Arabidopsis thaliana: one gene and its partner. The protein of the gene in region 1 interacts with the protein of each later gene in a biochemical or structural test. Each region holds a gene or a part of one and is shown on either strand. Other genes may lie near its edges.

Evidence for each region. The genes of interacting proteins can lie anywhere in the genome.
Region 2: the proteins of MYC3 (region 1) and JAZ3 form a complex in vitro, tested with the Arabidopsis thaliana proteins (2 studies listed by BioGRID).

Annotation. Positions count from the first base shown.
Region 1 is NC_003076.8:18,970,738-18,978,995, reverse strand, and holds MYC3 (Basic helix-loop-helix (bHLH) DNA-binding family protein), read right to left. Parts: upstream 4,975-8,258; 5' UTR 4,766-4,974; coding exon 2,987-4,765; 3' UTR 2,406-2,986; downstream 1-2,405. Other genes in the region: AT5G46770 (uncharacterized protein), read right to left, coding at 1,101-1,502; AGD9 (ARF-GAP domain 9), read left to right, coding at 7,179-7,247, 7,348-7,466, 7,673-8,096, 8,182-8,258. UniProt on the Arabidopsis thaliana protein: Transcription factor involved in tryptophan, jasmonic acid (JA) and other stress-responsive gene regulation. With MYC2 and MYC4, controls additively subsets of JA-dependent responses.
Region 2 is NC_003074.8:6,116,356-6,125,273, reverse strand, and holds JAZ3 (jasmonate-zim-domain protein 3), read right to left. Parts: upstream 5,568-8,918; 5' UTR 5,307-5,567; coding exon 5,222-5,306; exon of another isoform or gene 4,192-5,221; coding exon of another isoform or gene 4,146-4,191; coding exon 3,946-4,145; intron 3,686-3,945; coding exon 3,471-3,685; intron 3,396-3,470; coding exon 3,305-3,395; intron 3,224-3,304; coding exon 2,920-3,223; intron 2,823-2,919; coding exon 2,762-2,822; intron 2,686-2,761; coding exon 2,583-2,685; 3' UTR 2,230-2,582; downstream 1-2,229. Other genes in the region: TDX (tetraticopeptide domain-containing thioredoxin), read right to left, coding at 185-298, 385-525, 685-749, 833-913, 990-1,077, 1,173-1,313, 1,475-1,508, 1,628-1,740. UniProt on the Arabidopsis thaliana protein: Repressor of jasmonate responses. Jasmonoyl-isoleucine (JA-Ile) specifically promotes COI1-TIFY6B/JAZ3 interaction. Acts as a negative regulator of MYC2 function. Feed-back regulated by MYC2.

The DNA.
Region 1 (8,258 bases):
GAGGCTTTAAAAAAGAAACTTTGACTTTTTGTCTCTCTTTTTCTCTCCATTAAGTTGTTAAATCTTAATTTAAAACTAGTTTCTGATAACTATTCGATTTTTTACTAGATACAACCAACAAGTGGATTAAAATTAGGAATTTAGGATACATACGTAAACAAGTTGAGGATTAGTGTTTATAATATGACTAAAGACTAAAGTTGATTATTTAGGAGTCGTATTTTTTATACCATGGTTTTACTACGATTGATCAGACTAAAGTTGATTATACAAGTGTTGATAATCTAATAGATCGTCGAAAAATTGTAGAACTGTTACATCTCTTATCGTTAAACTAGCGATGTGAAATAGCTGAGAATATTGTTTTAGTAACGTTGATATTACTTTATGATTGGTGTGATTGTTAAAACCGTATATCTTGTATTGCAATGGTATAGTTTGTACTATATAGCGATATGCCGATATGGATAACGATTAAAGAAACGAAGCTATACCACAAAAGTATATGTCATGACGATTCGAAACAAAATCTGCCATGTCAATTGTGTATTAATTATTTCGAAATTACGCAGTGCGAAAGTAGGCCCAATTGTAATGATGATTTACTTAACTTTTAAGTCGAGTCATAATACTCTTAGAGAATTAGAGATAAGTTTTCTTGTTTCTCTTATGATTGATTTTTTGTTGCTTTGTTGGTTACTAATAATTTTCTGAAAGATAGCAAAAGCTTTACTGCTTATGCAATTTGGCTATTTAGATGGAATAGTATACCACCAATAAGGATGATCTCTCGTGTTACGCAAGAAACTCGAAAACAGATATGAAAACGATTTTAGAAAAGAAACAAAACACTTTAATGAAATTACGTTTTCATTCAAAGACAAAAAAGAAACATAAAAACAAATATTCAAAGAGAACAAAACGTGACAAGTAATAAATCAATGGAAACGTTTTGTCGTCCAAATAATACTATTATACATCTCACATATTCTATCACGATTATATAATCACGAATCTGGATTTGAAACTATATGTAATCAGCTTTATCCTCTCACATTTATATAAAATCTCAGAATCATGATCAATCATTGATCATATATTCATATGTTAATCTTCCTTTTTTCTTCTATTAATCCTTGATCTCTCAAATTCTCAAAACTCCAATTCCTTCGGACTCCAGTGCTCCTTACGAGCTTTGGTTGTTCCGGCCGGGTTGGTACATTGCTAGGGCTAGAACCAACAGGACCACTTAGCCTAACGTGATGAATCTTTTTCACCTTCTTCATCTTATGCGCTAAAGACGATCCTGGCCGTCCAATCTTCTCATAGATCCTAGGACTCAAATTCCCTGACCAATTTCTCCCACCAATAGGATTTACACAACATGTTTTACCTAGAACATTGTTAATCTCGACCCTTGGTGGTCCAGGACCGGAGAGATCAACATCTTTGTTGGAATCTGTTCGTGGAAGGGCTTGACATGATAGACAATTTAGGCTCATGGCTTTTTTGCGATCTCCTTACGACAATGGAGATCAATAATGAGCGAGAGAGAGACAAGGAAGAAGAAAGAGAGACTATATGGTTTTATTTAGTTAGTAATATGTTTCTTGTTTTATTTTAGTAAAAGACTAACGAGAACTAATCTAATTTTAGTGAAAAGTGTATATTTGTAAATTCGATTTTGGGTAACACACACGTTGCATGTGTAAGTAGGGATATCGCCTCACACGTTAATTAACAACTATAACCTTCATAGAAATGAGAGAGTTTTCTGTCTTTGGTCGTTGGTTATAATCAAAGACAAATTTTGTAAGAATTAACAATAGTTGTTGTCATATATATTTTCATTACAAAATTATAGTGTGAACGAATGAGTGAACAACTATTTAATATACATATACCTAAGATAGATGAAAGATGGCTATAATTTTCTAACATCCTTTAAAGAGGAGGGGTCAACTTTATGGTACTACATGAAAAGTATTTTTCAATTTATTATGAAAACTTAAGTTGGTGGTTTTTAATTAGAACTCATCAATGGTGGAGAAAAGTAGCTTATTGGCAACTTTCATTGTTGATTATGCAGTAAATGTTCTTCATGTTTGCAGAAAATCAAATGCCTTCACATTTTGGTTTAAACAAAAATTTGAGACTAAACCTACTAGCAAATTTTCGGATTTAAATTCAAATTGTGATACTACAAACTCAGTTCCAAAAAGAATATTCGGAAAATCTTGATTTTTGCGGTATATATGTTACTAAACTACTTAAAGACTAGTCGTTACTAATGTACACAAGACTATAAGAATTAAGAAACATAGGTAGATCACACGGCTCTCTAAACATAGAGATATACTCAAACTCACACATAAGATAAGATAAGATAGGCACTAAAAGACTTCCTACTCATTACTTAAAACTAACAAATCTTTGGTTTAACTTTTAGTTTCTTTTACAAACAAATCACACATGTCTCCACATTTTTGGCATTATAAACAGTTTCCTCATACCCCCTTACAAAGATAAGAGCACTATCTCTAGGCAAAACCCATTTACAACCACTTATTTTCCTCAGCTTTTTGGTACACTACAGTTCATAAATTTGGACCTTTATGTACACTACAAAGTTACAAACTAACAAAAAAATTCAATCATAGAATAAAAAAACTTCAATAGAATTTAGGATCTCACTTAATCTTACTCCATACATATATATACATACAAGTACAACCAAAGATTTTATTATTTCGCTAACTCTCTCTGGTCTTCTAGTCTCCAACTTCCTTCTCACTTAAGGCTTATGATAACACTAAGCTAAGAACTAAGCAAGTTCTCCTAATGAACAACAACATTTAACAACATGAAGCGAGTGATGCAAAATGAGTACTTACTACTTTACAAAAGACCATACATTACCCGCTAAATTCGATCCCATTTCATCGATGAAAACACTAGTTTCCCCTCTTTGATATGCCAACTTTGTTCAATAGTTTTCTCCGACTTTCGTCATCAAAGCAACTTTGAGCTGGTCATGATTGAAAAATTGGCTCCCCATCTTCACCGTAGCTTGTTGAATCATCAAATCATTCACAACGGATAAACTCGCATGATTCACTTCCAAATCCAATTCCTTAAGTGCTTCCATGAACCTAGCACCGGGATGATCTTTCTTGCCGCATTGTACACGTATCATCACATCCCAACCTATGATCTTAACATCAATCTCCATTTCTATAGAACTCGCCGTAGAATCTTGATTCGAACTTTTCCGTTCTTTTGCCCTTGACCCGCAACCTTTCCCATTATTCCCTTCCTTACTCATCCCATCTAGCTTCTTCTGAATCTCCTCTTTATCAGACTCCGCTTGCTGCAGCTTCGACTTAAGCTCATTGATATACGAAATCGCGTCTCCGAGAAGCGAAGCTTTATCCATCTTCGAAACGTTAGGAACAACAGCTCTCAAAGAGTAGAATCTCTGGTTTAACTTCTCTCTTCTCTGCCTCTCTGCTTCAACATGATTCAACGGCTCTTCTCTCCCATTCGCCGGTTTCCTCCCCCGTTTCCTCGGCTTCTTCTCCGGTGGCTCAACAACAATCGCTTCCTTAACAACAGATGCTTCAAGATCAGAATGATCCGAATCATTCGCAGCTGATCTAACCACAGTACTAAACGAAAGCATCCCTTCATCATTATTACTCCCTTTAGATACCGAAGTTCTCTTCTTACTACTCTCATTACCACAGAAACTCAAAGTCTCATTAGATTTCAACAACCCACCTTGAAAGGTCAAATCTTTCTCGACAAGACACGAACTTTGACGATTCTGATTCTCTACAGAGCTAATATCATTCTTCTCAAGCTTAGAAATTTGATGAGAATCAGACTTAGAATTAGAATTCGAGTTATTACCATTATTAACCCTCGCCGGAGATTCGATTCCGGTGTTCGTCGGTTCACTAATCCACAAAGCTGGATCATTCTCTCCTTGATCTGGATTCAGATTAAAACCCCACGAAGAAGCTTCAACACCATTGTTTCCACCACCGTTGTTGAAATTAAACAAGTTGTTAACTTTATGCATCAGATCTGAGCTTTGACTTATAACCTCCGACGAACCAAGCTCAACGACGCCGTTTTGAGTCGCGATACACACCATCGTCTTTAACCCGTAAATCTGACCTTGACCCGCTCTTTCACAACCCGACCCGGTTAAAGCACCAGACCCGGATAACCAAATCACACGAGAGTTTAAGAAAGATTCTCCGGGGAGACCAACACCGTTAACGAAGCTTTGAGTCATCGAAACTAAGAAGAACCATTCAGTATCTGTTACTTCTTCATCGTTTGATTCATCGGAAACCCCAATTCCGCCGGAGATTAACGAGTTAAGCTCACGTATTACTCTTTTCCGATGCTCTTGCTCCGCCGTGTTGGTGTTGTTCTTCTTCTTCTCTTTATCTTCCTCTCCTTTGTAGTAACCATCTCCCCAGCCGAGGATCACTGTGTTATCTCCGGTGGATGAATCGAAGTCGTGTGAGATCTGCCAGAAGATAGCGTAAGTCCAGTTTTCTCCGGCGGATTCTATTAAAGCTTGGAGACGTTGTTGAAGAGTATCTTCGTTGAACTGAGGCTGAGGTGGTTGTTGTGGTGGTGGAGGAAAGAGAGATGAGTGGTGGTTTGTTCCAATGAAAGCTTCCATAGCCGCCGCCGACGCGTCATCGTCGGAGGTCAAGAAGTTGATTGATGATGTTGTGCCGTTCATGTGAACATACGCCGGTTGAAAAGGTGATATTTTCCGGTGAAAGGTGAAGACTTTTTTCCGGTGAGAAGAAGAGAGAGGTGACGTGTAGGGAGGAAAAATCAAAAGAGGGAAAAAGCTAAGCAAATGGCGTTTAGTGATTGTTTGGAGAAGATGATTCTCTCTACAATACTATATTTTATTTTTATTGTTTTTCTAAAACAATTGTAAATAATTTTTTCTTATTTTCTTAAGTTTTTGTTGAGAGTTGCGACATATTATATGACAAAAACCAAACGATAATAATTTGGTTAACTGTTACGAAAACGTAAATAAATTATTCATGGAGTGATAATTCTCGTTTGGACACTGTTTTGTCTGAAACATAACTTAGATCCGTTTATTATCACATAGCCACTTATTGTTTTATGGAGAAAAAACTAATAAATAATCCATTTATGGTGATATAGTGACTTAGAGTTTCGAATATGGACCAATGCTATAATTCAAAATTTCATAAGTTAGAAATCTAAAATATAAATTTTATTTTTCATATAAATTAATATTTTAAACTGCAAAAAAGAATTGCATTTTTAAAAGGAAAAAAATAGATTCTACTCAATTTATATCAATTAAGTTAGGAATTTAAAATAATATTTCAACTGATTTTATGTTAGTTATAGGAAAATAAATATATATGAAAAAACTAAAAGTGTTTTCTTTCTCCAATCATCTTTTTTTTTTAAATATCATTTCATTATGTTCATTTTATTAAAAATCAGTTTGAACCGTTAATATGAAATTTACGTTTTCAAATAATTATCCGGTGTAAATTTTTTTTTGGTGTAATGGTTAACTAAATATCCATTAATACTTCATCACACCATATATGAAGTTTGATTTTCATAGATTACAAATTATTGAAGATTAATGGAAACGATTTCTATCTAGAGATTTTAGTGTGGTGCATAGAACCGTATGTCGTAGTACAGTACCATCTGTCAAACTGTAAAATTGTACAAGCATCGATGTAAAACTATCGGTTGTGGAGTTGACTACGAAAACCATAAAAAGAAAACTCAAAAAATGATTTGCTAGTCCTAAAAATTATTTGTAATATATATTCAAATAATAATGTATCCAACAACATAGCAACTTCCGTTCAATTTTTGAAAGAGGAAGAAATTAACGTATAAAATTTGTATTTTCTCTATAAAATTCATATTCGAATTTATTTTTTCTTAGACATTTTAAATTGTTTTTTTCTTTTTTTAAATATTGGAATTATGTTGTGTAGCCCACTTTAATTGTTTGGGTCCTCTGTCTAGGCATCGTCTGTCTGCTTTCCATGTTTCTGTCACCATAATTGACATATCTATTTATTAACAATCTTCATATTTTTGTCACGGTATACTGTAAGTTTTCTTTAACCACATTTTTTTCATCAAATTTTTTATCGTTTGGCTAAAACTATAATGACCAACCAAAGTATATAATTTTTTAAAACGTTACATATGATTTTTTTGTCAAAGTTACACATGATTATTGACAAAGAACTACACATGATAATGCCAACCATTACTTATAAACAAAATATCCAGAAAAAAAAAGAAAGAAGAAGAAAAGTAGTCAGTGAAAAGGACAACATGTACAATAATATTCAATGGTTAATCACGATGGCTAAAATGATCCAGCTCACGTGATTCTCGTGGATGATGTAATTACAAAACGACTTTAGACCCACTAATCGTACACTAACATATGATTATTGACATTACATAATAAAATATCTCTACTTCTTGCCAGTTTTCTTACAAGACATTGATAAACATGTTACATGTCACAGAAACATTGTATCAAGTAAAAAGTTTTACTTTATCAAAAAAGAAAGAAAGTAAAAGGTTCGAGAGGAATTAGTGAAGATAACCTAATTTAATACCTTAATGTACTTCCATAACAAGTCGATTTTTTGGATTTAACAATTATTTTGGTTTTCAATTTTTCACAATTCTGTCTTCATCTTTCAAGCGATCCTCTTTGCGCTAATAACAAGATGGAGAAAATCATGATAAAATTTAGCGATGAGGTTTTATCCTTTTTCATTTTCTGTTTTATGGTTAAGTTTTGTGATTAAAGAATTAGAAGTTTTTTACAGGATTTAGACTATGGTTAGAGTTTACATTTGATTTAGAATTGTGTGACTTTCATATAAAAATAATGACATCTACGAAATTACGAAATACAAATATGGGCTTATTCATTATTGGGCCATACAAGCCCATCGAGTTTAGTATTGATCCTCTAATCAAAAAACGTAAACAAATAAGATAACAGAAAAACAAAAACAAAAATTTCTGCTTTGAAGAAGAAGAGTCGATCCATAATCGCCACTTTCAGATTTCCAGATTCTGGGGAAACATCTCTAAACTCTTCAACGATGGCGACTGAGAATCTCACCGATAAGAATGTTGTTTTCAGAAAGCTGAAATCAAAATCCGAGAACAAGGTTAGGGTTACTCAATTTTCGATTTTGAATTTCGTTCAGATCTGGAGCTTATACGACCTAAATCTTCCGAATTGATTTATGATTTTGCTTCGGTTTTTAGGTTTGCTTTGATTGTAGTGCGAAGAATCCAACATGGGCTTCTGTTCCTTATGGGATCTTCCTATGCATCGATTGTTCTGCTGTTCATCGAAGTCTAGGTGTTCATATCAGCTTCGTCAGGTAAAACTTTGAATCTTGAGGAACACAAATTTGAACTCTTTAGGCTTAATTTTTAGCTTCATGGACTTGTAGCAATGTTTCACCTTCTGGCTAGGGTTTAAGCTGTGATTAGGAAGATGTTGACTTATTTTTTCCTGTTGACCACTCTATTTATAGCATTTCATGTTGTTGTAGATCTATTATAAGATCATATTGTTTTTGTGCAGGTCAACGAACTTAGACTCGTGGAGTCCTGAGCAGCTAAGAACAATGATGTTTGGAGGGAACAATCGAGCTCAGGTGTTTTTTAAGCAACATGGATGGAATGATGGTGGTAAGATTGAGGCTAAGTATACTTCAAGAGCTGCTGATATGTATAGACAGACTCTTGCTAAAGAAGTTGCTAAAGCCATGGCTGAAGAAACTGTTTTACCGTCGTTATCCTCTGTTGCTACTTCTCAGCCAGTGGAATCATCTGAAAATGGGTTTACTTCTGAATCTCCGAAAGAGAGTTCTTTGAAGCAAGAAGCAGCTGTTGTCTCTTCACCAAAAGCTTCTCAGAAAGTTGTTGCTAGTACGTTTAAGAAACCTCTTGTTTCGCGAAAGTCTGGGAAGACTGGTGGTCTTGGTGCTCGTAAGCTTACTACTAAGGTAACGTTTTTCGTTTTTATAAAGAATTATAGCTTAGCTTCTCGGTTCTTGGTTTTGATTAGATTAGTATTTGTTGTATATGTAGTCAAAGGATAACCTCTATGAGCAGAAGCCTGAAGAACCTGTACCTGTGATTCCTGCTGCTTCTCCAACCAATGACAC
Region 2 (8,918 bases), on another chromosome or scaffold:
GAGCAAGAAGCAAATCAATGAGCGTGAGATGTTTGATATGATATGATATTGATAATATCAGAAGAGGTTATATTTTAACTCTCACAGGGAGAAGATAATCAGGCCTATGTGATTTCTGCTAAGAAGATAATCAAAAGAATGTAACTCTACACAACATTTAATTATGGGTATGAGTCGGTCTGACCTGGGCTTCTTGCTGTTTCCGTCTCTCGCGTTCAGCCCTTTGGAGCTCCTTTTCTTTCCTCAGGCGTTGGTATTTCCTGCGGTGTTCTTCGATTCTCTTTGCATTGGGTTCAACCTGGGAAGTACACATTTTCAGCATATATATTTGGTACTGTAAAACTCAAGGACCATACAGTGATATCAAGAGGTTTCCGCAATTACCTTCTTAAGCATTGTCCCTATCTCCTCATCGTAATCTAATTTTGATGCGACATGTAGATCAGCTGCAGCCTCTTCCCATTGGCCTAACATGGCCTTAGCCATACCTCGTGATTTGTACCCCTTAGCTGAATCAGAGTTGAACTAAACCCCAAAATAAACTAGTTTAGCTTGTTTATGGAAGAAAACCATTGAGATATAAAATCACTCTCCCAAGCCATAAAACTATTGAGACATAAACTTGTTTTACCAAATCCATTTTCAGCACAAACAAAACAAGTTTATGTCAAGAGAAATGATCACCTGTAACGCTACGTTGGCATCACGAATTGCAGCATTTGGCTTCTTAACTTTTAAAAACACACTAGCTGCAGGACAACAATCACAAATATTGAGTATTATCACCCACATTCAGCCGAAAAGGGAGAGTGAACTAGTAAAAGAAAGTTACCTCTAGTGGCGTAGAGAATCGCTGAAGTAGGATTTAGCATGACAGCTTTTGTTAGATGCTCTATAGCTTCGTCAAACCTCCCTGTATACCAATCAAGCATTAAGGAGAAATCTTATGAAGTAGATAATCAAAACCAATTTCAACGGTAGTTATGTACCATCAGAGATTGCCTCCATAGCTTTGCTCTTCTCTGACTGAGCATCATCCCTATTTTCATCGGTCACTTCAGCAGTAGGGTCTCCCATCTAAGACAAGAAAGTAAAATCATCCAATCAGGTAAAAAAATGCATAGAGACACAAGCACCACATAATATCCAAAGATGATAACTTCAACACCTACCGGCTGAGGAGGCTCATTGTCTGGTTCAACTACATCAGAGTTGTCGAGTTCAACATCAGACTCCATAATATCATCATCATCATCATCATGTTTAGGAGAGAAACTGGGTTTTGTCTCAGCCTTATCTTCATAATCTCTTTCCTGCAATTTATAGTTAACTATTCGATCAACATTTAGATAGTGTTGAAGCCTAGAAAAGGGTTTTGTACATCAATTCAACACAAAGATATTAAGAACTCAATCCCAAGTAGCACAAACAAGAGAAACCTAAACATCGATAATTCATAAGAAAGACAACTTACAGTTTTCTCAATCTTCGGAACTTGAGCTCCTAAACTGTACACGATAAGACGGGAACGAGCATCGATTACAAAGAAACTCACAGCTCCATGGAAAAATTCAACTGACAAATGAAATTCACCGAAAGAAAGATAAGTCAGAGAAGAATGAATCACCTTCGGAGATATTCTTTGAAGAAAACCAGACTAGGATCGTGGAGAATCGAAGGATTCAATTTCAACTGCTCGACGAATCTTCTCAGCTCAGCTACTTGAATCGCATCCACCATCGAATTCCGCCTTTTTCTTCTTCTTTCTATGAAAAGCTTAGAAATCAGTGAATCCTTGTGATCGTACGGAGCTGTGTCTGCTCGTATTGGTTTTGATTAGACTGAAAAACGTTGAAATAATCATCGCCGAAAACCGAACATGTCCAACCGGTTTTGTCTTCGCGTTAACTTAACCGCGACTGAATTCATATCCGGTTTATCATCTTTTGCAACATCCCTTTTCGTTGTGCAATAAGACATTGGGCCTTGATGGGCTACAACACAAAATGGCCCACATATTGAAATTAGGATGTTACAAAGAAACTCACAGCCAAAACGAAGACCGAAAAATAATTAGCCAAAACGAATTAAAGCAAATTCTAAAAGATGTTCCATTTTCTCCATATATAATGATGACTTCTTTTGTGAATTCGAGTTGGTAACTGGTAATGTATCAAGCTTATTGTTAACCAGAGTACAAATTAGCAAATCCTATTAAAAAAATCCCCATATTTGAATAGAAAATTGATTAGAGAAATAACTTAGGGAAACAGAAGCGATGCAATTCCATTACATGAATTATACATATGCGAGCTTCAGTGATATATACAAAAGAACAGAGTTAAAAAAAAAGAAACAAACAGTTTCTACTAATTTTCCCAAGTACATATCTGATATGCTCTCATAAGTTCCATTCCACCAAAAAACATGTAAACAAAGTATACACTATCGTATATATAAAGCTAAGGAGAAACTCAGTGTGGCGAGTGAGGAAAAATTAACTGAGACATTGAAAAGACCGCCATTGAAATGCAAATATGGATGTGGAGTGGTCTAAAGCAACCTTCTTACTGTAGATGAAATTAGGTTGCAGAGCTGAGAGAAGAACTAATGCATTCAGACATTGATCTGCGACAATCTGTCGATGACTTCTTGTCTAAGCAATATGGGGATACGCTCGTGACCCTGAGAAACCCACAGCGAGAAAGAGAGTTAGCCCAAGAAACTATTGAATGGTGTATTCTAAAGAAGTGTTGCGTACCTTTCTTTGCGTTTCTCTAAAAACCTAGCCAGGGATGCTTTGCGAGCCAGAGGTAATGCCACTGCATAAGAAACAGAACGAGAATGAAGTTACATCCATGAAAATACTAGTAAGTTAGATGGCGAATGTAGTATCAGGTCTCTGACTTTGTTTTTTACCTGTTGGAGCCATTACATTGGTAGAACAAGAAACTGGTACTGGGCAGTTAATATTGGATCCATTAGCTTGGTTGTTGTGATATGTTGACGTCAAGCCTCTTGTCGCTTTTGTGGCTCCGAGTCCGTTTGTGCTACTTCCAGCTTCAGGGCTAAGATAAGATATTGTAGGCATGAAGCTAGGAGGCATAGCTGAAGAATCGACAGAGGCACGAGTATGATGGACCACTTGTTGATGAGTTTGAGGCGGCGAAAAGACTTGAGGCATAGAGGAACCGTTCCCAGCTAGCAACATTATCGCCTTTGCCTGAGAAATGAAAGAAAGCAAATGAGTACCATACCTTACGAGTAAAAGAGATGCATATATGGAAGAAAATGATTGAGATACCTTTTCAGGAGATATGTCATCGTAAACACAAACTGAACCGGCATAAAAGATCGTCAACTGCGCAGGTGAACCTATTGGCTTGGAAGAAGATCTGACAAAAATAAGTCTTTAGTCAACTATGAAAATGTAGAAAGAGTTTCTGTATGATATGATGACTAGTGGGTACCTAATATCAGTAGTCCCTACAATGGAACCTGGAGGAGGAAGGATTGAAATTGGAGGTGCCATGATAGGAACTCCTACCAAAGGTTGTGAGTTATTGTTATTGTTCATGAAGCTTCTTCCTCCTGGTGCATAATGATGAGACTGGAAACCCGGCATCGACATGGAAACTGCGTTAGTTTCTTCGTGTTGATTGGAATTAGGGAACATCCTCACTCCCTGAGAGTAACAAGCCATAAAGTAGGTGTGAGGCATTGTATGAACTAACTTATCAAAAATGAGAAGCTTAGCTTACACTTAAAATGAATCAGTATTAAACCAAGATTAGATCCACAAACTAATTGCCATGAACTTGTGCTAAACTAGACTCAAAACCAATTACTATATGCTCATAAAACAGGGCTCACTTTTAAAGCTATCTTGCGAAGGATAAAAAAAACACAAGGGTCTTGGTTAACATAGGTTTTGATGACAAATACCTGTACAGAACTGTAAGGAGCTTTGCGGGTTGAATCATAAACATCAGCTACTGATGATGGCATGAAGGAACCAGAGTGAGGAAGATGATAATTTCCAGACTTTCTATGTCTATCTTCTTGAGTTGGCCTGAAGGATAGAAACTGAGAAGAAGAAGCTGATACTTTGTTTGAGAAAGACCAGTTCATTCCTCTGTTGGGAGCTACAAAAGAAAAAGAATAAAAGATAATCAGTTTAAAGTCAAACATGTAGTGTTAACTGTTAACCATAAATGTCTCGAGATCTCCTTACATAAACAACAGAGGATTAATTCAACACCTACTTCAAGGAAAAGATTAGTAACCAACAATGTAGAATCTGATACTGTTGACAAATTCAACGAGGGAAAACCACTTTCGAAAACCGTGTCTAATTCTAAAACATTTGATTGAAAGTCATTGTACGAAACTCCAATAATTTAAGTTTGTTTTAATAGTTTAAATTAAAGAGAGATTCAAACTTTAACCCCACCACACCACACCACATGTTGATGCACTACTTTTATGGTGTGGCACGTTTTGGCTGATAAGAAAACAAAGTTGAAATAATTATATTCCTCGTGGTGAGAAAACTATTATTTCCACATTGTACCTTGAACAATATTCTAACGCAAGTTCCGCTTAATCAACACACAACACAAATACACAATCAATATTTTAATAATCTCATAAACTAATCCAACTCACACAATCAAGAAGTTAATCATCTTATAAACTAATCCAACTCACTCTTTTGAGTATATTTAATCTTTCTACCTACTACCAACCGTCTCTATTTTATCATTTTTGTATCAGTCTCTATACATCCCCTCTTTTCCAACATTTTACGTATTCGTTTTTTTTTTAGTATAAACTAATAAAGTATTTCTCAATTATAAGACTCTTCAAACAAAACAAAAAAATTTACTCTAGTAAAAAAAAGTTTACCGAGTTTAATTATGTTAGAAGCTTGAGATTAGTTCTCGTTAATTTCTCCGACCGAAAGCATGTTTAAGACAAGGCTTTGGAAAAGAACACTAGTTTTTCCAAATCCAAATTCTACATCTCCCGAGAAAAGCAAAGGACAATGTTCTGCTCCAAGCAACAAACTGACAATTCCAGTTCCCGAGCAAGCCATAAAATCAGCTATCCAAAAACAAATTCCATACTACAAGTAGTCCTAATAACTCCTAATCAATCAAACAAATCTACGATTTAAAAACAATCAGAATCAGAAAAATTGAGAAGAGTAATAAATAACCTGAATCTCTAGAGCTTTCGCTGGTTTCCTCCTTGACAGTGATCGGAGAATTTTTCGAACCCAACCCGAGAAAATCTCTCTCCATCTATAATAAAGACACAGCCCGCTACAAAATTAATTCGATCTCAAATGTCTGTTTCGATTAAAACGCGTGTTAAACGCCGGAATCAAGCTAAATAGAGCTTCGCCGGAAAAAGGAAAAAAAACAGAGACTTTTGAGGGAGAAAATGAAAAAACGTGGAATGAAGTTAATTCACCGCAATTTCTAGTTTTATTAACAAATCGCATGCGACATGTGAATCGTACCATTAATTTATAACTATAACAAGAAAAAAAAGATTCTTTTTTCTCATATCCTATTGGCGCAAAAACCAGCTACAGGTTGTCCCGGTTACGTCACCGGATATAGTCGGTTAAAAAGGCACGTGCATCGTCGTGCAGTGTGTGGCGTTTCTTTTTGTGGTGAGACGCGTGGCGAGGCACGTGCGCTATTTTAACGTGAATGATTCACGAGATGCGAAGCGGCAGTTTTAATTTATTTTTTTATTCAATGACAACACTTTTTTTTGTCGGCTGACGCGCTAAGTGTAGCGCGTGAGTCTAACCCCCTTTTTGTCTCACCGCTCAATCTAAAATAGTAAAATTAGTTACACTACTTTCGTGCACGTTCTCTTGACCAAGATAAACATTTGCACGTTGCATTTTTTTGGCAAAATATATTAATTTGTATTTTAGTACTATATTTTTAATCTTTGATTAATCGGATGGTACTATAAAGTAATTGTAAAGATTAGACTTTCATAAAATGATTTAAATACAACAAAATAATTGTTGCGGAAATTTAGTTCCACAACTAAACATTATTAAGCTAAATCTAAATCCTCATGTGATTATGTCATCACTCTAATATTATTTTTTTTAATCCAATTTTTAATTATTTTTTCTGTCATTGTACTTTTATTAATATTTTTCGCGAATTATTAAAGAATGTTGCTTGTTGCTTAAACTATACTTGTATTAATTAAGGTAATTATTGGTACCAAAAAGAAAATATTACTTTAATGTACATATTACTAAAATCACTCGTTGACATCGTTTTTGTGTATTTATAAGATGCATGTGGTCCGGGGGAGGAAATTACGCCATTTCGTGCGTCACTTTCTTCTTAATTTAGTAAAAACTAATACTATACTAAATTTACTAATGTTTTAAAACATATCTAATTATCTCACAAATATAATAATAAAGTTTTCATTTTTTTATGAAAATGAATATTTAAAATTCAAATCTATAGAAAAAATGGAAAGGAGTCAATGATCACAACAACTTGACGATCTCTAAACAAAAAAAAAATTGACGATCATCTCCCACGATAACATCGTTATTTCGAGTCTGGGGGATATGCAGCACACGTCATTTTCTCCAGCCTAGAATTTAGATATTAATATCACATTATTAAGAAAATACTACACTGCAGTTTATTATATACACAACATTCCATATAGATAATAGATCAGATCAGATCAAAAGTGGACCTACAAAGCGAAGATTATATCAAAAGATGCCATAAACGCATCTCTCACGCTATGATCCACATAAAACATCCGAAATTTAATTCTGTTTTTACATCCGACATTTAATTCTTGTTTTCTGTTTTTACATCATTTAATTCTGGTTACCACGACATTTTTTTTGTTTTAATGGTATTAGACTCTATATAGACATACAAAACTCAAAACAAAAGATTCAATGATCACCCCCTACCAAAAAAAGAACAGATTAAATGATCACGAGTTGGCTTAACAACGAAAACTTTTCTCCAACCAAAACCAAACTTAACTATTCTAAATCAAACTCAACAGCAACAGCAACGTCTGTTTACAACAACAACTTAAATAATTTTGTATTAAAATCGAATGAGAGTAAATAATGGCAAAGAGAAAATCAAATGACATATGTATATGCATGATATATAGCGCAGCATTTAACTATATTTAGACTGACTTGAGTAGTTGCAATATTTGGCTCTCTTTTTTTTGAGTTTGGTGCTTTAGTGGATCCTTTGATGGCTCATCCTGCTTCTCGTCGACGTCGAGCCAGATCCAGAGAAGAGCCTCCCTACTTAATGATCTGGTCATTTCTCACCTGTTAATACTTACATTTTAGTTTTTATTTTGATATAGACTTATTTGCTAGTAATTATGGACATCCAGAAGCAATTAGTCTTTCGTGGGCTCTTGACATCGTATGCCGACTTGTTTGCCTAATTTCGACCCTTGTTTACGGCGCCTTCACCGTTTACGCCTCCGCAATAATTTACGATGGAGGTGTACGTATAAAGCTGAGAAGATTCAGGGGCCAAAATGTATCTCCACGTCTTGGAATTTCATGGAAGTTAGAGAGGGCTGTGCATGGTGGAGAAGAACAAGGGGAGTTTAGGGAAAGACGAAGAAGAAGTTTCCCCAATCTGTCTAGAAGATGTCACCATAGGTTTTGGTTATGTTAGGCTAAGAGATTACATGCACAAATTCCACCGTGATTGCATTGCTAAATAGCTTTTGAAGAGTGCACGTTATCCTATATGTCGTGCTTTTGCAAAATTATAAACAATTACCTTTGCCTTCGATTATCTATATAGAGCTGCTAATTATTGTTTTAGACTTTTTCGTGGAATTGAGCTACGACATAATTTGTTTTTTTCCGAGTTCTGACAATCCAATATCGCAGCGATGGAAGTCTTTTGATAGTAATGACAAAAACACCATGTTGATCAAAAATCACATGCAAGAATACAATAGTACACTCATGATGCATACCATTATAGTAATTTATTTCGTCATAAAAAAATTTGGATTCAATCTATTCGATAATTGAAAAGCAGAAAGTAATGTTATTAATTGAGATATAGACGTAACGTGAACACATCATTTAATATTTAGCTAGCAAAATTACTGAAAAATAAATAAAAAATAGTTACAAAACTGTTGATCTGAAAATAAAGAGAAGTAGATCGAACTCATCTTGAACCATCTTTATCTCTTGTGACTTGTATGATCGTTTTGCCTGACTCTTCTCCCTTGACATGTCCATTACTAATATAAAAGTCCGACTAATATGGGCCCAAAATGTAATAAGGAATGGCCCAAATCTAATAGTCATAATAAGTTTGTATCGCAATGAGCCAATGAGGATTTGTTGTTTTGCCATGGACCGCATAAAGTTGGATGCATGCACTGTGTTAGTGGAAACTTTTCGGATTCACATAAGCTAGATCACATCTTGTAGTTGTAGATCATCAGCACTTAAACAATATTTTCATTTATTTATTTTGCGAGAAAACAAAAGATCGTTTTCTTTGTTATCTAAAATTACGAAAATAACATTTTTGTTAAGTAATGGAATAGAGATATTGATTAATAATGTGTTGTTATTTGTGGATTTATATGAAAAAATTGAGTTGTTTTGTTAAGAAATGATTGAATAAAATTAATTTTAGTTTAAGTCAAAAAAGTCAAAATTTAGTCTTAACAAAGAATTGACTGTTTTCCATTTCAAGTAAATTAAATGACAAAGGCACTGAATCTAGGCTTTCCCACTAACAGTTACGCTTTCGTCTTCCTCGTCGCTTCCTCAAAATCCTTAACCTCGAAAACTCTGAAGATCTTCCAGAGAGTCTCAGCGAGTGAGAGAGAAAGCT